Linked DNA regions of Saccharomyces cerevisiae S288C. The protein of the gene in region 3 purifies or fractionates together with the protein of the main gene of each other region. This does not show direct contact. Each region holds a gene or a part of one and is shown on either strand. Other genes may lie near its edges. The genes, in order: CRH1, ENB1, SIP3 and SIT1.

The links.
Region 1: the proteins of SIP3 (region 3) and CRH1 purify together in Saccharomyces cerevisiae (affinity purification with mass spectrometry, with the first as the bait; one large-scale study listed by BioGRID). This does not show direct contact.
Region 2: the proteins of SIP3 (region 3) and ENB1 purify together in Saccharomyces cerevisiae (affinity purification with mass spectrometry, with the first as the bait; one large-scale study listed by BioGRID). This does not show direct contact.
Region 4: the proteins of SIP3 (region 3) and SIT1 purify together in Saccharomyces cerevisiae (affinity purification with mass spectrometry, with the first as the bait; one large-scale study listed by BioGRID). This does not show direct contact.

Annotation. Positions count from the first base shown.
Region 1 is NC_001139.9:875,297-879,999, reverse strand, and holds CRH1 (transglycosylase), read left to right. Parts: upstream 1-1,807; coding exon 1,808-3,331; downstream 3,332-4,703. UniProt on the Saccharomyces cerevisiae protein: Dual chitinase/transglycosylase that plays a role in cell wall architecture. Chitinase and transglycosylase activities are coupled. Required for the polysaccharide cross-linking at the septa and the cell wall.
Region 2 is NC_001147.6:18,414-23,646, reverse strand, and holds ENB1 (Enb1p), read left to right. Parts: upstream 1-2,335; coding exon 2,336-4,156; downstream 4,157-5,233. Other genes in the region: oligo-1,6-glucosidase IMA2, read left to right, coding at 1-1,122.
Region 3 is NC_001146.8:160,131-167,275, forward strand, and holds SIP3 (Sip3p), read right to left. Parts: upstream 4,191-7,145; coding exon 501-4,190; downstream 1-500. Other genes in the region: DSL1 (Dsl1p), read right to left, coding at 1-243; trifunctional dihydropteroate synthetase/dihydrohydroxymethylpterin pyrophosphokinase/dihydroneopterin aldolase FOL1, read left to right, coding at 4,493-6,967. UniProt on the Saccharomyces cerevisiae protein: May be involved in sterol transfer between intracellular membranes.
Region 4 is NC_001137.3:25,381-30,801, reverse strand, and holds SIT1 (siderophore transporter), read right to left. Parts: upstream 3,146-5,421; coding exon 1,259-3,145; downstream 1-1,258. Other genes in the region: AVT2 (Avt2p), read left to right, coding at 1-1,005; HPA3 (D-amino-acid N-acetyltransferase), read right to left, coding at 3,596-4,081; YEL067C (uncharacterized protein), read left to right, coding at 4,026-4,613; YEL068C (uncharacterized protein), read left to right, coding at 4,824-5,156. UniProt on the Saccharomyces cerevisiae protein: Involved in the transport of siderophore ferrioxamine B and so has a role in iron homeostasis.

The DNA.
Region 1 (4,703 bases), on a different chromosome or scaffold from region 3:
GGAAATGACGATCCTTAGTGTTTCTTGAAATAAACGAATTTTGCGTACTTGTAACAAAATTACTTTTCATTACCCCTTACACTTGTGTAATGACAAATGTTTTTGTAAGGAATTATGTTCGCCCAGGAATAGATGACATAATCTTGATAACGTGAAACAGTTTAACGGGAGATTAACATGGTAGACATACGATGATGAAGATCTATTGTAAATTTCCAGGTTGAATACAAAACGGAACTAGTGTTCTTCCACAAACACGAATATCTTTTTATTTGCGAACAAGAATTGAGAAAAGAAAAAATACACGGTAAGATATATAGAAATAAGATGTACAGATCATTATACGCACCCTAAGGGACTAGTTTGTGTGAGTGAATGGCTGTGAAGTTTTATATTTATCTTTATCTAAAGAAGAATTTACCTGTTTTTTTCGGAAAACTAGTGCGCCAAGAGAGTAATTAGGTAGACCGGGTAGATTTTTCCGTAACCTTGGTGTCCCATTTTCTTAATGATAAGTATCGATCTGTGGAGAGGGGTAAAAAAACTTCTCCTCGAGGTTATGAGAACTCACAAAGGGAAATTGATATTTCTACACAGTAATATTATATATTCTTCTTTATACACTTCACCCATTATTCTATCACATTATGAATTCTTGTGTTTCAGCCCCATTAAATCTGATGACGGTTTTCCATTTTTGTGTCATATTTTTACATTGTGTATGATAACGTAGTAGCTTGTGAACGATAGGTAGTAATTAATTCTGTTGGTAATTAATTGTTGAACTGTAGTGTCAATCAAGAATAAATGCAGATCTTCTTATTCTATATAAGAGAAGTATAGAATACAGCCTTATTAGTAATATTAAACATGCTCATATGATTATCATGAAAGCATATTATGATTTCAATGTCATGACTTACATCCGTATATGTGCAAACACCAAGTTGATCATTTGAGCAATAGGTGTTTAACTTACTTTGCCCACAATGCCACTTAGTGTGTTATCATTCTCCATCGTGAAACATCAATGATGTGTGGCGTCCGATTACTTCATATGGTCACTAATGGATTAGTTATGAAGAAGTATGAGTAGCTATTTTAAGAGATTCTAATTCAAACATTATAGCAAACACAGAATTTCGGCAGACAAGTAAAATGTTATATCTTCGATATTTCAAGATGAAGCGGTGGCTCAATGGTAGAGCTTTCGACTCCAATTAAATCTTGGAAATTCCACGGAATAAGATTGCAATCGAAGGGTTGCAGGTTCAATTCCTGTCCGTTTCATTTTATTATTTAATTTTTTTTTTTTCGGAAAAAGAGGCTGGACAAATATCGCGAACCGCGTGAAGTGGCTTAGTTTTCCTTATTCGGTTGAATTGATGACGCGTTTTCCCAGCCCATCGATTTTTTTGGCGACTATTTCGATGGCGTTTTCCAGGAAAGTAAAAATAGATCTGAGCTATAATGCATTAGAACCTCTGAGGGCTTGCTTTTCGTGGTATGGGATACGAAAATGACATTATTAATTGCAAGGGCAGTTTCTTTTCGCTCGATCAAGAAGCAATGTTTCCGAATCGGGAATGTGATATAATTAGAGCGTATGGTTACTGGTTTCCCTCATGCAACAATGGATGTTATATAAATACTTGCTGGTTAGTAACATGAAAAAGAACAAAAGGTGAAACACTTTTGGAACTTTCAATAATTGCCTACTCCTCTCCATATTCTACATTTCTACTAAATAGCAAGAGAAAGGTTAAGATAATATAATATTCATAATAATTCAATACAGCAAAAAACCATGAAAGTGCTTGACCTACTAACGGTACTCAGTGCCTCTTCATTATTATCTACATTCGCGGCTGCCGAAAGTACTGCTACTGCAGACAGTACAACTGCAGCTTCTAGCACTGCTTCGTGTAACCCGTTAAAAACTACAGGTTGTACGCCGGATACAGCTTTGGCAACTAGTTTTAGCGAAGATTTCTCATCTTCATCCAAATGGTTTACCGACTTGAAGCACGCAGGTGAAATCAAGTACGGTTCAGACGGTTTGTCAATGACACTGGCGAAAAGATACGATAATCCAAGTTTGAAGTCTAACTTTTATATCATGTATGGTAAATTGGAAGTTATCTTAAAAGCTGCCAATGGTACCGGTATTGTTTCATCATTCTATTTACAAAGTGATGATTTGGATGAAATTGATATTGAATGGGTGGGTGGTGACAACACTCAGTTCCAATCTAACTTCTTTTCTAAAGGTGATACCACAACATACGACAGAGGCGAATTTCACGGTGTCGACACTCCTACCGACAAATTTCATAACTACACTTTAGATTGGGCGATGGACAAGACGACTTGGTACCTCGATGGAGAGTCTGTCAGAGTATTATCAAACACATCAAGTGAGGGTTACCCACAATCTCCTATGTACCTAATGATGGGTATCTGGGCCGGTGGTGACCCAGACAATGCTGCTGGTACCATTGAATGGGCTGGTGGTGAAACCAACTACAATGACGCTCCATTCACTATGTACATTGAAAAGGTCATTGTAACTGATTATTCTACCGGTAAAAAGTACACATATGGTGACCAATCTGGTTCTTGGGAATCTATTGAAGCTGACGGTGGTTCTATTTACGGCAGGTATGACCAAGCCCAAGAAGATTTCGCAGTTTTAGCCAACGGTGGTAGTATTTCCAGCAGCTCTACATCCTCTTCTACTGTATCTTCCTCGGCGTCTTCCACTGTATCTTCCTCGGTTTCTTCCACTGTGTCCTCCTCGGCTTCTTCCACTGTGTCTTCCTCGGTTTCTTCCACTGTATCTTCTTCGTCTTCTGTATCTTCCTCTTCATCCACATCTCCATCTTCTTCGACCGCTACTTCATCTAAAACACTTGCTTCCTCATCAGTCACCACATCTAGTTCCATTAGTTCATTCGAAAAGCAATCCTCCTCTTCATCCAAGAAAACAGTGGCTTCCTCTTCTACAAGTGAGTCCATTATTTCCTCCACTAAGACCCCAGCCACTGTTTCCTCTACCACTAGGTCTACAGTTGCCCCAACTACTCAACAATCTTCCGTATCATCGGACAGTCCTGTACAAGATAAGGGTGGTGTCGCAACATCAAGTAATGACGTGACCAGTTCTACTACCCAGATATCAAGCAAATACACATCTACAATCCAAAGTTCTTCCTCCGAAGCCAGCTCGACAAACTCTGTTCAAATTTCTAACGGTGCTGATTTAGCTCAGAGTTTACCAAGAGAGGGAAAACTTTTTTCCGTACTCGTAGCTTTACTAGCCTTGCTATAAGTGGAAAATTTCTTTTAGAACAATATTCGTAGATCACTAAGTAACATTTGAGACCGAAAAAAATAATAGCATAATAAAAATAAATACTAAATTTTAATACAACAGAAAGTCTTATACCTAAAGCATGATTTTTCCTTTTATTATTAAGGGTACGGTTCATACAAAGGAAATTTATGTCATCGTGTTTTAAAGAAAAAAAGAAAGCCCTGTAGGGGGCTCGAACCCCTAACCTTATGATTAAGAGTCATACGCGCTACCGATTGCGCCAACAAGGCTATTCTATTATTGGAAATCTGACCTCTCAGGTTTAATATGTAATTAAGAATCTATAGACTCGATTATCCACATTTCTTTCTTTTTTAGTCTTCTGAGATTTGGGTGAATAATTCTGAGAGATGGGTGAATTTCGAGATAATTGTTGGGATTCCATTGTTTGATAAAGGCTATAATATTAGGTATACAGAATATACTAGAAGTTCTCCTCGAGGATCTAGGAATCCTCAAAATGGAATCTATATTTCTACATACTAATATTACGATTATTCCTCATTCCGTTTTATATGTTTCATTATTACATTATCAATCCTCGCATTTCAGCTTCCTCTAACTTCAATGACCGCTTCTCATAACTTATGCCATCATCTAACACCGTATATGATAATATATTAGTAAAACGAATACTACTAAATAAAAGATAATTTAGAGTTTCATTCCAACAATAGATGATAGTTGTAGTCCTTATTCTAACAGTTTATAATTCTCGAAGAAAACTTCTATTACATTTATGCCACAGTTACCCTTTCTAATAGGAAACTAAGTTCCATAAATTGTCATCAAGTTCTAACGCTGCCAAGATAGAAAACCATCAAACGTTAAAATATAAAGTGCGGTTGGATAAAAACTAGAGACATCGACGCTGTACGAAGAAAATATCGAAAGCTATCTCAAGGAACATAAAAATCCAATTCTGTAACAATTATATGCTGAATAGGTAAATTACAAAATAGAATTGTTAGATTTCGTTCTTAGCGAAGACAATAATGATATATAACATATATCAAAACATTCTCCTTTTGAGGTATTGAAAACATGCAAGTAGAAAGGCAATTGAACGTTTTATGTAATGGTTTCTTATCTTGATTTTATACGTCACCTCTCATTAATCCTTTTATCCCCCCAATTCTCATGGTTCAGTTTCCATTGAATCTGATGACAGTTGAGTTTTATTCTACCGACTCCATAACTTGTGCCAACTTTTAAAATAGTTCAAGGTAATGTCTTAATGAATTCTCTACTAATTAATGCTCAATAGCTGGTTTTTATTTTAGGAGTGTGTTTAACGTTTGACTTCACGTCCATGGGGTCATCTTGT
Region 2 (5,233 bases), on a different chromosome or scaffold from region 3:
GGAAGCTTGTACTCCAAGGTTGCTGGTCTACCAGACGCTCCTGTGATTGACGAAAACTCAAAGTGGCAACCCAGTGATCCTTTCACAATGAACGGACCACGTATCCATGAGTTTCATCAAGAAATGAACAAGTTCATCAGAAACAGAGTGAAGGATGGCAGAGAAATTATGACAGTTGGTGAAATGCAACATGCTACTGATGAAACCAAGAGGTTGTATACAAGTGCATCAAGACACGAACTTAGTGAGTTATTCAACTTTTCCCACACTGATGTCGGGACTTCGCCCAAGTTCCGTCAAAATTTGATCCCATATGAACTAAAGGATTGGAAGGTTGCCCTTGCTGAACTTTTCAGATACGTTAACGGAACTGATTGTTGGTCAACAATTTATCTGGAAAATCACGACCAACCTCGTTCAATTACCAGATTTGGTGACGATTCTCCTAAGAACCGTGTTATTTCTGGTAAGTTGTTGTCTGTGTTGTTGGTGTCACTGAGCGGTACTCTATATGTGTACCAAGGACAGGAACTGGGTGAAATCAATTTCAAGAACTGGCCTATCGAAAAATACGAGGATGTCGAAGTTAGAAATAACTATGATGCGATCAAGGAAGAGCATGGAGAAAACTCGAAGGAGATGAAGAGGTTTTTGGAAGCAATTGCCCTTATTTCCAGAGACCATGCTAGAACACCTATGCAATGGTCTCGTGAGGAGCCAAATGCTGGTTTTTCTGGTCCTAATGCTAAACCATGGTTTTACTTGAACGAGTCTTTCAGGGAAGGAATTAACGCTGAAGACGAATCCAAGGATCCCAACTCGGTTTTGAACTTCTGGAAGGAGGCCTTGAGATTTAGAAAGGCACACAAGGATATTACTGTATATGGATATGATTTTGAGTTTATTGATTTGGACAATAAGAAACTGTTCAGCTTCACAAAGAAATACGACAACAAAACATTGTTTGCTGCTTTGAACTTCAGCTCTGATTCGATTGACTTCACGATTCCAAACAATAGCTCGTCGTTTAAGTTGGAATTCGGAAACTACCCAAGAAGCGAAGTTGATGCGTCTTCCAGAACATTGAAGCCATGGGAGGGCAGAATTTACATATCTGAATGATTGATGATTGTGACGACAAGATTTTTATACATATACATATACTTATTTTTATCTATGTTACATACCGCACTTTAAATAGTAACGACATATATCTGGTAGTGCGGTATGAGTTATGTAATACACTAAAGTATAGTTTTGTGTAGCATTTTCCATATGTCCTTGCATTGGTATTGTATTATAATAATGCTGAGAGAAGGGTTACTCTATAGCTCATTTGGCCAGATAATACGGCGAGTTATGTGCATATAAGAACAAGTACTAGTGAAATTATATATTATTGTTTATGATCAACAGAATCATCTCTACTACACACTGCATTATGAACTGCAGCCACATTTATCTAAGGGCGGAACGTACCTATGAAATGTCTCTACTACTTTTATGAAGATACTGATTTTTAGTTTGTCACAAATTTTACGATTCTGAAAACACATATACTTTCTTTTATGTTGATAGAGCAATAACACAATGGCCATTTAAAATCTAGCCAGCAAAATATATTCACCGGTTCGTACAATCTCATTTACTATTCCCTCTGAACGTCTTGACTTTGCTCCGCCAGCAAATTTTCCAATCCAACATGCAAGTCACGAAATGACGAATGAAGGCTGTATCAATCGTTCCTAACTGAGGATGGCTGAATAAAAATGAAGGGAAATTCTACGACAGTTTTAATTAGTTAATGAAGGGGTGTGAAAAAGTTAGAAAAAAAAAAAGTCAAATTCAGGAGAATAGACAAGCCTACATTTTCTGTAGTTCAAAACTTTTTATGGTTTGACTTTGTTTTTTTTTTTTTTCGTTTTTCTTTTTTAGTTGAACTAATGGGACCCTCAAACCTAAAATTTTCCGTTTTCGTTTAATCCTCGCATCATATATACCAAATAAGGACACAGGGTTTTCAGTGAGCAAATGTAAGGGTTTCTATGGATTATAAGCCCTTCGGATCAGAAACAGGGTTCCGTAGTTTGGGCAAGAATTGCCCTTAGTCCTGAGTCAACTGCAAAAATCTGTTTAAATTATTGCACCCAAATGTGATACAAATGTATACTATTATAGAGGCTGCCACGGCTTACAATTGCACCCCTCTGTGGCTTTTGAGTGGCGAAGGGTCTATGTTTGGATAATAGAGATGACTTATTTAATTGAAATGATGGTTTGGGTCCTAGCAGAACTCTAATATAGCAAAAAAGTGCTCGTGAATGTCTCTCTGAAAATGCTGGAAACTGATCACTCTAGGAATGACAATTTAGACGATAAAAGCACTGTCTGCTACAGCGAAAAGACAGATAGCAATGTTGAGAAGTCTACCACGTCTGGCTTGCGCCGTATAGACGCTGTCAACAAGGTCTTGTCTGACTACAGCTCTTTCACAGCTTTTGGAGTTACGTTTAGTTCACTCAAGACCGCCCTACTGGTGGCTCTGTTTTTGCAGGGTTACTGTACTGGACTCGGAGGGCAGATTTCGCAATCAATACAAACCTATGCCGCTAACAGTTTTGGAAAGCATTCTCAAGTAGGATCGATCAATACCGTCAAATCAATAGTAGCCTCTGTTGTCGCAGTGCCATACGCACGTATATCTGATCGGTTTGGACGTATAGAATGCTGGATTTTTGCGCTTGTGCTCTATACTATTGGAGAAATTATTTCTGCTGCTACTCCAACGTTTTCCGGACTTTTTGCAGGTATTGTTATACAACAGTTCGGTTATTCTGGATTTCGTCTTCTTGCTACAGCACTGACTGGTGATCTGTCTGGATTGAGAGATCGTACATTTGCGATGAACATATTTCTGATTCCCGTGATTATAAACACATGGGTAAGTGGAAATATTGTTAGCTCAGTTGCTGGTAATGTTGCACCATATAAATGGCGTTGGGGCTATGGAATTTTTTGCATCATTGTGCCCATCTCCACCCTAATATTGGTCCTTCCCTATGTGTATGCTCAGTACATTTCCTGGCGCAGCGGTAAGTTACCACCATTAAAATTGAAAGAAAAAGGACAGACCCTGCGTCAAACGCTCTGGAAATTTGCGGATGACATAAACTTAATTGGAGTCATTCTTTTCACTGCTTTCTTAGTTTTAGTATTATTACCTCTCACAATAGCTGGTGGAGCCACCTCCAAATGGAGAGAGGGTCACATTATTGCAATGATTGTGGTTGGTGGCTGCTTAGGTTTTATCTTTCTAATTTGGGAATTAAAATTTGCTAAGAATCCATTTATCCCACGAGTATATCTAGGTGATCCAACCATCTACGTTGCATTGCTAATGGAATTTGTATGGCGTCTAGGTTTGCAGATTGAGTTAGAGTATTTGGTCACCGTGTTAATGGTAGCATTCGGAGAATCAACATTAAGTGCGCAGCGGATAGCTCAGCTTTACAATTTTCTACAGTCATGCACTAATATTGTTGTCGGCATTATGCTGCATTTCTATCCTCATCCGAAAGTCTTTGTAGTCGCTGGGTCGCTTCTTGGTGTCATCGGAATGGGTCTTTTGTACAAATACAGGGTGGTATATGACGGGATTTCGGGTCTTATTGGCGCTGAGATTGTGGTCGGTATAGCTGGTGGTATGATACGTTTTCCTATGTGGACGCTAGTGCACGCTTCAACCACCCACAATGAGATGGCAACTGTCACTGGGTTACTAATGTCCGTTTATCAAATCGGAGACGCAGTAGGTGCTTCCATCGCTGGTGCTATATGGACTCAGCGTCTGGCAAAGGAGTTGATACAGCGACTCGGCTCTAGTTTAGGGATGGCAATCTACAAATCACCACTCAATTATCTAAAAAAATACCCTATTGGATCAGAGGTTCGTGTTCAGATGATAGAATCCTATTCGAAGATTCAACGCTTATTGATAATTGTGTCCATTTCGTTTGCGGCTTTCAATGCTGTTCTCTGTTTTTTCTTGCGTGGCTTTACTGTAAACAAGAAGCAAAGTCTTTCCGCAGAAGAACGAGAGAAAGAGAAGCTCAAAATCAAACAACAATCATGGCTCCGTCGTGTAATTGGATATTGAGCTGGAGAGTACTAGCGATACAAATATAGTGTTAAGCTCTTTCCTGAACTAGAATTCTCTTTGAAATAATCACTGTTAATGTAAGTAGTAATCAATAATGGCGTGTAACAGTATAATATTGTTGTCTGAAATAAAAAACAACAAAAAGTTCGAATTAGTTTTATTTTATTTTTCTTTTCTAACTAAGTGAATATCCATACGTTTGTTACGTTTATTTCAGCAATATTATAGTCTTAAATGGGCTTGACAATACAAAAATCAATGAGATTATTCGCACCTGTCATTTCCCGTAGTTTTTATAAAGAAATATAAAAAAAAATGTTGCGAAGAACTTTTACTAGAGCGTAAACGAATTAAAAAAAATTAGTAGTGTAAATATAATCACCACCTGCCGTAAGCCTGCTTGAGCCCTTTATTATTTAGTTTTAGCTGTTGCTAACCTGACTTTCATACTTCTTATAATTGACGTCATAAAAAATATTCAAAGTTCGAAAGAATGAAGAAAACATTGACCGACTTAAAAGAAGCAGTAACCCCACGAAATTTTAACCAGTGCTGATTGTGCGAGAAATCGACTCCAACAGTCTCAGATCAGAGAATATATGAAATATTAGTGGCCCCATACTTATAATGGTTCGCTGATTAATGTATAACAAGCGTGAAAGTATGTATAGCTGCACGGATTGTAGATAGAGCTCATTTAATATTAGGTATTTTGCCCATGTCATTTTTGTGCAAGTCATTTTCTCCTTTGGAACTAAATTTTCTTTAAAATATCTCATATACAAAAAATCCTAACTCACAAGTTAATGTTTTCCATCATAAGTAGACGTTTATTTAAAACATGTTATTATATATTGATCCACTCTTTGCAGTGTCGTTTTCCTACAAAAATTAGATACTTAATCTTGAGGAGTGTAGAAATAAGTGAAGGCGACATAAAGATAGAGAAACAGCCATGAAATTTAGTGAAAGCTGACACTCAAGAATTAGGAATGTAATAAGATAATGAATCACAACATATAAAATGGAAAGTGAAGTAATAATACTATTCTATAGAATAATCGACGATCCTTC
Region 3 (7,145 bases):
GTAGCAGTTTTCTAGTTCTAGTATGTTCAAATTAGTTTTAACTTCTTTTATGAGATTTAAAAACGTCTTCAAATTATCTAGGATGTTCAGTTCGTTGGCTAGAATTGCCTCGCGTTGTAGTAGGTCACTAGAATCAAGTTCTAACTCACTGCCATTGGACCTTTTGCTGTCATTTTTTAATATTAAAGGATCCTTCAGTAACTCGCGTATTATTTCACCTTTGTTAGGAAAAAGAGACTCCATATCCAATCGAGAGACTTCGTGATTTGTAAAAGTTATGCGAATCAAACCACTTTTTTACTGACAAATTTAACGTAATCCTTTAAGACTATGAACCATGTTATGAAACATCTCTTAGTTCAACATGTCGCCTAATTGTATATCGCTATTGACGAAAGAGAAGTATCTTTCATGAGGTCAATAATAACGTTCAATGGTTAATGAGCACTATAATCATAAACAAATAATGACTTTGATAATTATATAATAGTTATATTCGCTCAAGTTATTGGTGGTCTTAACTTCTCGAGTTCTTCGTTACAAATAGAACAGTAATTTTGCAATTGAGTGTCATTAAACCAAAGATCAGTCATCTCTATAGACACCATCGAGCATTTATTTACTTCTTCCAGCAAGAATTTTTCGTAGTCGTCATGCACTAATTGTTTCTCCATGTCTTGGAGTATTCTAAGTTCAATTAGCAATTCATTTCTCCTCATAGCCAACTGTTTTCTCGTTTCGCTATACTGATAGTCCTTATTGAAATTGTCCTCGCTGAACTTCTCAAAAATGGGGTTATTTGACGGCACTGACAGTTGACTACTTAGCAAGTCCGAATCACTTATGTAAATGGCTCTTTGCATTGTGAACTTATCTGATCCAAGACGGTCGTGGAACAGTTTTTCAGCTCTCTTTATTGACCAGTAGGGCACTGATGCTTTTTCTGATAAAAGTATGTTTATCATAATAGATGCTAATAATCCGACCACCATCATTCGATTAATCCGTGAGAACTTTTCAGCACATAATAATAGAATACCGATAAGTATTCTGAAGAATACAAACGTCAAATTCGTTACTCTGTAAACCATTAGTTTGATAAACACTAGGAAAAGGATAGTACAAGAATACCTGATGTCATATTGCATACTTTCACTCTCTTTGGAGTTGCCATTTTTTTCAGTAGCAGGTTCTTCACTTTTGTTGCTGAGAACACCTAATATACCACATAGTTTGATAGCTTTGATAACTTTTCCGTGTTTGCCAATCTTTTCCAAGTAGTACCGTAACACCCTTCTTATCAGTAGGAATTCACTATGAGCAAATTTCAAGGCCCATGTTTGGCATATTATTTCAGCCAAAGATAGCTTTTCTATTGTTTTGCCAGTTCTACTATCAATATATTCTAGTTTGTATAGGACATGAAGCGATGAACTGCTCGCCGTCATATTCAACTTTATTTCAAGATGGTTATCTACATCATATGACTCAGTTATGACAAATTTAATTGAAAGCTTCAATAAATGACAAAATGGCACTTTAACGAAAAAAGGATCTAAATCGACTTCATAATATTTGTTATCAACAATTTTGACTATCCTCTGTGTAGCAAAAATCATTTTAGATTCCTTATCTCTATGATATTTACCAGTATTTAAAAAATTACCGGTCATATCCAATCGAAATGGTATCTTTCGAACTAATTGTGATTTCCCGTTGATGTCTTTGTTTTTATACCAAAAACGTTTCCCGTGTTCTTCCCCATCTTTTCTTGCTAAAAACAGGCATTTTGGAAAAGCATTCGATTTATCTCCAAATAGTATGTGGGCTAGTCCTTTACTAGATATTTCATATTCATGATTGTAAGTAATCGAGTACTCTGTCTGAAGTTTTTTGAGTCTGTTTAATAAAGTAGATGCATCATCGGACATCTCCCAAAATGTCACACGTGATTTGATGATTTTGGATACGCTGGTGGCCTTACGATCAAAGGAGTTTTCTTGTTCTATCTTATATAATTCTTCTTGTTTTTTTTCTTGAGATTCTTTTTCCATCTGTTCAAACTTTACTAAAATCTCTTCGTTACTATTTGGGTTTTTTATAGCCTTGTTTTCTAACAGATATTGCAACTTAGATGCAATAAGCTTATAGTCAGAAAATAAAACGATTGCTTTCATTTGTAGACCGCTGGCATCGTAAAGTTTTAAGGTCTTCTTTGATGATCTGTCGGCTTCTACAGAAACGATTTCAGACAAGCTGATCTTTGTAAGACAGATAAATTCCATAGAATTCATGTAGCAATAAATGTAGTCTTTTGTGCAAAAGCAGGTAGCTGAGAACTTCTGCTTTTTGTTAGGACACCACAATGCTTCAAACTTGAAAAGTAAAAGCTCTTCCGGTAGCTTCTCCAACCTTTGGTCCGGAGAAAATACTAATGACTTGAACTGTAGATCAAGCACTTTCAACTCATTAGAATAATATTGAGGATATATAGTGGAGTTTCTTATTGGAAGCCTTTTGCCATCGATCGTTAATAAAGAGGAGGGTTTCTTTCCCTTTCCTGGCAATATAGTATATTCACTCCAATCGGTCGTGCCCCATATATTCGCAAGAACAGCATTAGGGAACCAGCTACCTTTTGTGAGGAAATTAGACAGAATAGCCAGTTGTGTCATTTTTGTAGATATTGGTGTTGTTGGCATTTGGAACTGAAACACCTTCTCCTCTCCTAAAGTCAAAATATCATATTCAGAGATTGAGCAGTTCAGCGTTTCATACAAGGACTCGGTTTCTTTGTCAAATGTTGTGATTAATTGATCTATGGAGGTGGTTGTACTAGAGGCAAATTCAAAAAACTTGGGAGAAAATCTTTTAAACGCCAGCTCATATTCAAGACTATCATGTTGTATACTCATGACATACTTTTTTGTCGCTTCAAAAGCTATTAACCATGATTTCAAATCTAGATAATTTGAAGTTTGAAAGACCAACGTGATATCCTTTGACATGTTATCATGTGCCTCTGTTACTTTATTACCAAATATTTTTACTTCAAAACAAAATTTTCGATCTTCCTCTGGGTCATAGCGCACATTAGTAAGGAAGACACCAAACTTATCAGTTTCCTCCACGTAGGTCTTCGATGGCGACAAAAGGAACATACCAAAAACTGCATTTTTCAGAAAGCACCATCTTCTCACCCATATTTCCCTGGTAGGCTTTCCAACCTGTGTTTTCATATAAAGCCACCCAGACTTTTCGGGCGATTTTGGAGGCACTTGCGTATCCTTTGATAGCAGCTTCGAGGAATGTATTGATCTTATATTGTAATCACTTGTGTCACTTGACGGCGTAATTCGTTTCAAGGTATACCTATATGCTTGCTTTTTTGCATTACTGATATCAGAATCCAATACTTTCGATCCTTCGATGGAATTTTCTACCCATATTGCGTAATTGTCTAAATACTCATTAATGCAAGGAGATAAATCTATTTTCCTTCCAGAATCTTTCGTTATAAAAATGCTTCTTGACTTTAATACTTTCATTGACTCTAGTATGAATTTATCTAAGCTTAATTTTACTGCTGATATGGCACTTATGAGGTCTAGGGAGGCCTTAAGGTAGTTTTTTTGCACTTCAAATAATTGTAAGGCATCACTTTTGATAGAAGATGGCTCTAAACTGGTTTTTGAAATTCTTATAGCCTGGTAGGATGCCAGCATACTGTCATATTTACCTTGGTAAAAATCGAAATTTTTTCTCACGTTTCTGTAGGGTTCAATTGCAGTAGTCATAAGTTCTAATAGCGCGGTTGAGTGGCTAGAGTCATCACCCTTTACAATTTGCAGTAATTTCATAGAAAAGTCATAATAGTCCTTGTTAAAACTATCAATCAGCCTGGGAGTAAACGATTGGTTACTGACAAAACCGTTGCTCAGCAAGGCTGGAGGAGGTAACAATTGGGATAGGAGAGTTTCCTTTGCTCTTCGAAAATCTTCAAATGACACCTTATATTTCTGATCGAAAAAGTCGACAGTCTTCTCTATCCAATCCTCTAATGCATCCACCCTTGTTTGGAAGAAATTTACGGATGCACGAAAGGAAGGAGAGTCAATTGATGCTTCTTTGAATGCAACCGATATTAGCCTTAACTGCCTCTTTTTGGGATCCCTCCCGTGAACGGACATATTTCAAGTAATGATATATCTCTGCAATATGTCAATTGATCAACAGGTCTACTCATGCAGCTATGTTTTAGTTACACCTAGTAGTTTAAAATTTCACGTGTACTTTCCCTGTTTTGAACGCATTAGCAATAGCGCTGGTGTCGTTGCGCAAATTCATAATAAAAGGAAAATTTGAAAAACTTATGATAAATTGCAAGGTCATCGAAAACAGAAGAACAAGGTTTTTTCCTTTAGTAAATGCAAAATTAGTAAAAGTGATAGCGTCTTCTTTGATTAACAAGTTTCAATCTTTGCCTTTGGCTATGTCAAAGCTATTTTCTACTGTCAATTCTGCAAGACATAGTGTACCACTAGGCGGCATGAGAGATTATGTGCACATTAAGAAACTAGAGATGAATACAGTTCTTGGGCCTGATTCCTGGAATCAATTAATGCCTCAGAAATGTCTACTAAGCTTAGATATGGGTACAGATTTTAGTAAATCTGCGGCTACGGATGATTTGAAATATTCTCTAAATTATGCAGTTATTTCTCGTGATTTGACGAATTTCGTCAGCAAAAAAAAGAATTGGGGTTCTGTTTCTAATTTGGCTAAATCTGTGTCTCAATTTGTTATGGACAAATATTCTGGTGTCGAGTGTCTGAATTTAGAAGTGCAGGCGGATACAACGCATATTAGAAGTGACCACATATCTTGTATTATTCAACAAGAAAGAGGGAATCCAGAATCACAGGAATTTGACGTTGTTAGGATATCTGAGTTAAAAATGTTGACTTTGATTGGTGTTTTCACCTTTGAGAGACTTAAGAAACAGTATGTAACTTTGGATATAAAGTTGCCTTGGCCAAAGAAAGCCGAATTGCCACCGCCAGTGCAAAGCATAATTGATAACGTTGTCAAGTTTGTGGAGGAATCAAATTTCAAGACTGTGGAAGCTCTTGTAGAATCTGTGTCAGCTGTTATTGCCCATAACGAGTATTTTCAAAAGTTTCCAGATTCGCCTTTGGTGGTGAAGGTTTTGAAATTAAACGCAATCACAGCCACAGAAGGTGTTGGTGTAAGCTGTATTAGAGAGCCCAGGGAGATTGCGATGGTAAATATTCCATATCTTTCCTCCATACATGAATCGTCTGATATTAAGTTCCAATTGTCTTCATCACAAAACACTCCTATTGAGGGTAAAAATACATGGAAAAGAGCGTTTTTAGCGTTTGGTTCAAACATTGGGGACCGTTTCAAACACATTCAAATGGCGTTGCAATTATTATCAAGGGAAAAAACGGTTAAATTACGGAATATTTCGTCTATTTTTGAAAGTGAACCAATGTATTTCAAAGATCAAACCCCTTTCATGAATGGGTGTGTTGAGGTGGAGACATTACTGACCCCAAGCGAATTATTAAAATTGTGTAAAAAAATTGAATATGAAGAGTTGCAAAGAGTCAAGCATTTTGATAATGGTCCGAGAACAATAGATCTGGATATTGTTATGTTTTTGAATAGCGCCGGAGAAGATATTATAGTAAATGAACCGGATTTGAATATACCGCATCCTAGAATGCTGGAGAGGACTTTCGTTCTTGAGCCGTTATGTGAATTAATATCCCCCGTTCACCTTCATCCTGTGACAGCGGAACCCATTGTAGACCATTTAAAACAGTTATACGACAAACAGCATGATGAAGATACCTTATGGAAATTAGTTCCATTGCCTTATCGTAGTGGTGTGGAGCCTAGATTTTTGAAATTCAAGACCGCTACAAAACTTGACGAATTTACTGGAGAAACAAACAGAATTACTGTTTCACCTACATATATCATGGCTATCTTCAACGCTACACCAGATTCATTTTCCGATGGAGGTGAGCATTTTGCGGACATTGAAAGTCAATTGAATGATATCATTAAATTGTGTAAAGACGCATTATATTTGCATGAGAGCGTCATCATCGACGTTGGAGGGTGTTCTACCAGGCCTAACTCTATTCAGGCGTCTGAGGAAGAAGAAATACGCAGGTCTATCCCATTAATTAAGGCCATTAGAGAAAGCACTGAGTTACCGCAAGATAAAGTCATACTATCCATTGATACTTATCGTTCCAATGTCGCTAAAGAAGCGATTAAAGTTGGAGTGGATATTATTAATGATATTTCGGGAGGTTTATTTGACAGCAACATGTTTGCCGTAATTGCAGAGAACCCAGAAATTTGTTATATTTTATCACACACACGTGGTGATATTTCAACGATGAATAGGCTGGCGCATTACGAAAATTTTGCATTGGGTGATTCTATTCAGCAAGAATTTGTTCATAATACCGACATTCAGCAGCTAGACGACTTGAAAGACAAAACAGTGTTAATCAGGAATGTTGGTCAAGAAATTGGCGAAAGGTATATCAAAGCGATTGATAATGGAGTAAAGCGCTGGCAAATTCTAATCGACCCTGGACTTGGTTTTGCTAAGACCTGGAAGCAAAACTTACAAATTATTAGACATATCCCCATTTTAAAGAACTACTCATTCACCATGAACTCAAACAATTCGCAAGTGTATGTTAACCTCAGAAATATGCCCGTTTTATTGGGTCCATCGCGCAAAAAATTCATTGGACATATCACAAAAGATGTGGATGCGAAGCAAAGAGACTTTGCTACTGGAGCGGTGGTAGCGTCGTGTATTGGTTTCGGCAGCGACATGGTTAGGGTCCATGACGTTAAAAATTGTTCGAAGAGCATTAAATTAGCAGATGCTATTTATAAAGGTTTGGAATAAAGGTTAGTTATATAGATTAAATATGTAATTCTGTTTTGTAATAATTTTTTTTCCTGTTTCATAATAAAGAATCGTTAAAAATAACCAAGGGAGGAAACAAGTGAAATGAAGTATAGAAAAGATATAGAAAATAAACTTAAATATTCAGTTTACTTGTGCTTCTTTTTTCCCCTCTATG
Region 4 (5,421 bases), on a different chromosome or scaffold from region 3:
CTATTTACAAACGGGTTATTTGCATTTGGTGGATGTATTGGTTATTGCATAATTATTGGGGATACGATACCCCACGTACTCAGAGCTATATTCAGCCAGAACGATGGTAATGTACATTTTTGGCTCAGGCGAAATGTCATAATTGTAATGGTCACTACTTTCATTTCCTTTCCGTTATCAATGAAGAGAAACATAGAGGCACTATCAAAGGCATCTTTCTTGGCCGTTATAAGTATGATTATAATTGTACTGACAGTGGTAATTAGAGGACCTATGCTGCCCTATGATTGGAAAGGTCATTCTCTGAAGTTATCTGATTTTTTCATGAAAGCTACTATATTCAGAAGTCTCTCTGTCATTTCCTTTGCGTTGGTTTGTCATCATAATACTAGTTTTATTTTCTTTTCCATGAGGAATAGAAGTGTGGCAAAATTTACCAGGTTAACGCATATCAGTATCATTATCTCAGTAATATGCTGTGCACTAATGGGATATTCGGGATTTGCAGTTTTCAAAGAAAAAACAAAAGGCAATGTTTTAAACAGTTTCCCAGGAACAGACACTGCTATCAACATAGCCAGACTCTGTTTCGGATTTAACATGCTAACCACATTCCCCATGGAAATTTTTGTTTTGAGAGATGTTGTCGGTAACTTGTTACATGAATGCAACCTTATTAAAAATTATGACGAACACACTCAATTATCAGGTAAACAGCACGTCGTTATAACTTCTTCACTAGTCTTCATCACCATGGGTATATCATTAACTACATGTAATTTAGGAGCATTATTTGAACTGATTGGGGCCACTACGGCATCGACTATGGCTTACATTTTGCCGCCATACACAAATTTGTTGTTAACTAGTAAGAAGAAGAGTTGGAAGGAAAGGCTTCCTTTCTATCTTTGTATATGCTTTGGTTTCATGATTATGATAATCAGCAGCACCCAAACTATTATTGATGCAGTTAATGGTTCTGATGGACAGCACTGCCAAATATAGGGTATTTTTTCTTTCTGCTGGGTTTTAAAAAACTAGTTTAGTTACCTCATTGGAACTCAAATATTTATCCACTTTGGATAGTATATACGTCAAATTCTTTTGGTATTTTATCGCCGAGAAGTCGGTAGAGCCAGCATCAGATGCAAAGCCATGCAAAGACTGATATAAAGACTGTTATACCAAATGTTATGATATGTTCTTGACTATGTAGTAGCTATATGTGCATGTATGAAATTATTTGGGTGAGATAATATTAATCTTTCCTATCTTTACTGCTTGTAAAGTGCGTAAAGAATTTATTTTTCAAAAAACTTTCTTCCTTTTCCTCAATTTCAAAGGTGTTTTTACTTTCCAAATGATCATTGCCTTCAAGAGCAATAGAATCTGTTAGTTTATGATTTCTCAACATGAATGCGCAACCTAACAAAGGAAAGCAGAATACCAAACCTATGATACATAAAATCTTTTGAACATAGCGGTAAGACATGACTAAAGCTATTCTTTCTGGTGTTCCCCAGGTATAAGTTGTAATGAATGTAAATGGAGAACCGTACGCTTGTGCAGCTAAGGTTGGATCGGAAATTCTTTTTGAAATTTCTTTGGGTAGGATATTAGTCCAGACAGCTCCGCTAACAGAACTACCAAATGCAGAACCAATATTATAAGTGGCAAGGTATAATGAGGTTACTACCGCCATTCTTGCATGAGTTTTAGCGGATGCTTGGATGGAAGCTTGAGTCACATAGGTAAATGAACCTGCACCGAAACCTAATAGACACAAAGAGCCAATGATACCGGAATGAGCACCGGAGTCACCACGGTAATGGACCAGCAAACCAAATGAGACGATCCAACAAGAAATGCCAAATATAATAAAAGGCTTAGTCCTTCTAACTTTAATCAGTATGAACCCGAGGATTGTACCAACGATAACAGAAACAAATGAATACAAGGAGGTAATTCTTGTAGCGGACTTTATGGATTCATGAACTGCAACGACTAGTACAGTATACATGTAATCACCTTGCATATACCAGTTAAAATTGATAAAGAATGCGATGAGTAGAGCGAAAAAGATACCTCTATCTTGAATCAAGTCCCAAGGTGTCAATGGATGTCTCGAGTACTTTATTTCCCATAGCATGTACAGTGGTAACACTACAACCCAACCAATGACTTCAGGGACAATAATATGCGCAGTTTTCCATTCCTCTTTCAAACCACCCGCTAAGGTGAATGGAACCAATACACACCCGAAAAATACAGTAATTAATAACATTCCAATGATATCCAATTTCCAAAATGCGATGTCTATACAAAAGGACTTCCACTTCAATTTGTTTAGCGCTTCGAACTCGGGCTTCAATCTATCTTTAGCATGCTTTCTTGCTAAATACCTCATGTGCAACATACAAATTCCAAGCGGAATACAAGCTAGCGGCAGTATAAAAGCCCACATACCAATACCCCATTTCCAATTAGCATCTATGGCACTTGTTACGTTCCCGCTAATCCAGGTGTTGATGATAAATGGTAAAGCTGGAATGAATAAGGCTAACAACCTCCAGTTCAAGTTGGAAAAGTCAGAAGCAATAACTTCCAAAATTAGAATAATACCGGTAAGACCCAATTGGTAAAAACAACCACCAACTGCAAATCTTGTAATATTCACCGCTTGCGACTCAATGATGGTCCCCATGCTATAAAAAATGATACTGACAATCATAATGGAAAATCTGCCGAAGATATCTGATAATCTGGCAAAGAAGATCTGGCCTACAGCCGCAATAACCGTCTTAATACAGTTGACGGTCGATAGCAGCGAGTGCTGGGAGTACGACGAAGTCGCGTACGCCTGGAAAGTGTAACGGATATTACCATCTAATCCGTAAGCATAGGCAATGAGGAAAAGTGAGAAGAATAATGCGACACGGTAGATCGGGCGGTTGTACATTTCTGCGTAAATCTCGATGTTATGCACACCTGGATCTATCAATTCAATGTAAGAAGGTGCTGGAGAAGATGTGGTTAGCGTTGGCTTGACATCGACCTTGGCTCCTACTTCCTTTTCCAGCATCTCGGGAACGACAACCTCTTCAAATTCCTCGGGGAGGGTATGATTAGCAATACCAGGGTCCATTATGGAAAAATTTTCGTACTGGGTCTTTAACAGTTCTTTTACAAAGCACTACGATGTTCTAGCCTCATCGGTGATGGACGGTGTCCATTGCTTATATAGTATCTGCAAATCATCGCATCACAAAAGTAAATTAAAGGATCACGGATGAGCACTACTAATTATGGCAAAAGACGAACCAGATTGCACCCTCAAATGTGTTCTTTACGGCACATTGTAAACGATGAACTTCGGGGTCTTCCCAGCAGATAAGTTTCTTAAAATGCACCTGGATTAAGCTGCAAGTCATTCTGTGCCTGCGCCGTACGGCGCTTGCGATTAAATCGGAGAACAAACTATGAAAAGCCAATAAGAAACTATTTCACTGGGAAAAAGTGGGAAAAAAGCTTCGCAAGTGAGCCTATAGAAGCTAGAGTTATCTCTATACACAGTAGTCTACATTACACAGCGGTTTCAGTATCCGTTTCTCTTGTAAAGAACCTTATCTGTCTTGTAAGCCACTTTGGTGTACAGCAACTGTGCGCGGTGATTGTAATGGTCTGTAACCCAGTACACTGCAGGCGTACCGAGCTCATCGGCACGGCTGTATACAAATTCTATGAGCTTTCTACCTACGCCTTTGACTCTTGCGCGTTCAGTGACATATAAGTCATTCATGTAGACAACTTCTTCGACATGCCACGACGTCAAATGGTTCAGGTAGTGTGCAAAGCCAATTGCATCGCCGGTCTCGGTGTCAAAGGCTAGAGCACCCCATAGTTTGACCGTAGGGTCTATAAACCTTGCGAAGGTAGTGGTGGCTACTTCCGGAGGCATAACCGTTTTTTGGAAACCCTGATACTCCTTCCACAGTTTGTTCCAGGCTTCCTCATCTTTTGGCTCGATGGCCTTCACCACAATTCGATCGTTAACCATTTTTTCCGGTTCTTCGTTTGACATGCCTACGTTCTTCGTGCTTGCAAAAGGTGGAGATGGGTCTGGGGTCTTTTTCATTAGTCTGCACTCATCTATTTTATATGCCCGTTTTCCGCTTTTAAATATCTTGTCGCAACACTCTCCAGTATACTGTTCGCGAAGGTTTCCGCCTGATAACGATTTAATAACCGGATTGGGAAATATACGATGCGGTCAATTGGTGAAAAAGGCCTTACGCAGAGTATGCAATGTACCGCCTGATCATCAGCTGATCGCTTCAGTGCGATCGATTGGATATGCTAGAGTAGCATTCGTGTTTTGTACGTGTACGTCTGAATGTCGGGATAATTTGCAGAGTGTGACAAGAACTTCAGGCCATCAAACAACAATTAGTCAACCATGCACAGATATACAGTCAACACGGAAGTGCTCGACCATTTTTGTCTCTGCTGTTATGCAAACGGGAACTATAACTTTCTTCTGGACGTTCCATTTCCCCATCCCCTTACAACGCATAGTAAACCAAAAGCAGCCACCGCCTCAATCCTACGTTTAATACAAAAGTGAAGAACTACAATGGTTTAATTCTACTAGACGGCATGCTAACCTGAAAAACTCAAGCATTTTTATCTTTTCAGTCGGTCGTAGCTCTCCAACGGTTGTTTTTTCACAGTATATACTTTTTCATATTATCAGGCGAAAGATACGAGAAAGCCAAAATCAGGCACATTGAAAGGATAAAGCCAAAATCAGGTATACTGAAAGGATGAAAATTTTGGCACTAGCCGTCGCCTTTCAAGGCTTGGCATTGGTATGCTGTACGGATACAACAGACAATTATAACAATTTTACGCATAATACATCGACATTTTACCGCATAGCGGATTATGATAAGAGATTTTGGAGCGTAAAACTACCACCAGTGAATTGGACTACTTGCGGTAATGAAGATCATCCATGGATTACTATCCACTACGACGAGATTGATAAACTCGTTGACGATAAACTGGCAAGTTGGGACAAAGGACCTGTTCCCGATCGTGAAGAATTTAGGAACTCCATCCTTAGACAAGCGAGATGCGACCGCCCACATTACTAGCCATCAATTCTTAATCATTGTAAGCAAGAACTGTCCACTCTAACATTTAGTAGGCTCTCAAACATATGTTAACATAGCACCACTAATTGCACTTCTGATTTAATTGAAGAAAACGGCGTTAAGTGTTTCAAAAATATCAGGTCAGTTAAGAGAAAAAAAAGAAAAATGGGCCGGCAGTCCTTATTTATTTACTTCCAATTTGAATAACTATATAATTTTAATTAGATCAATTCTCTCCCTTTTTTTTTCAAGTTACAGTACTGAA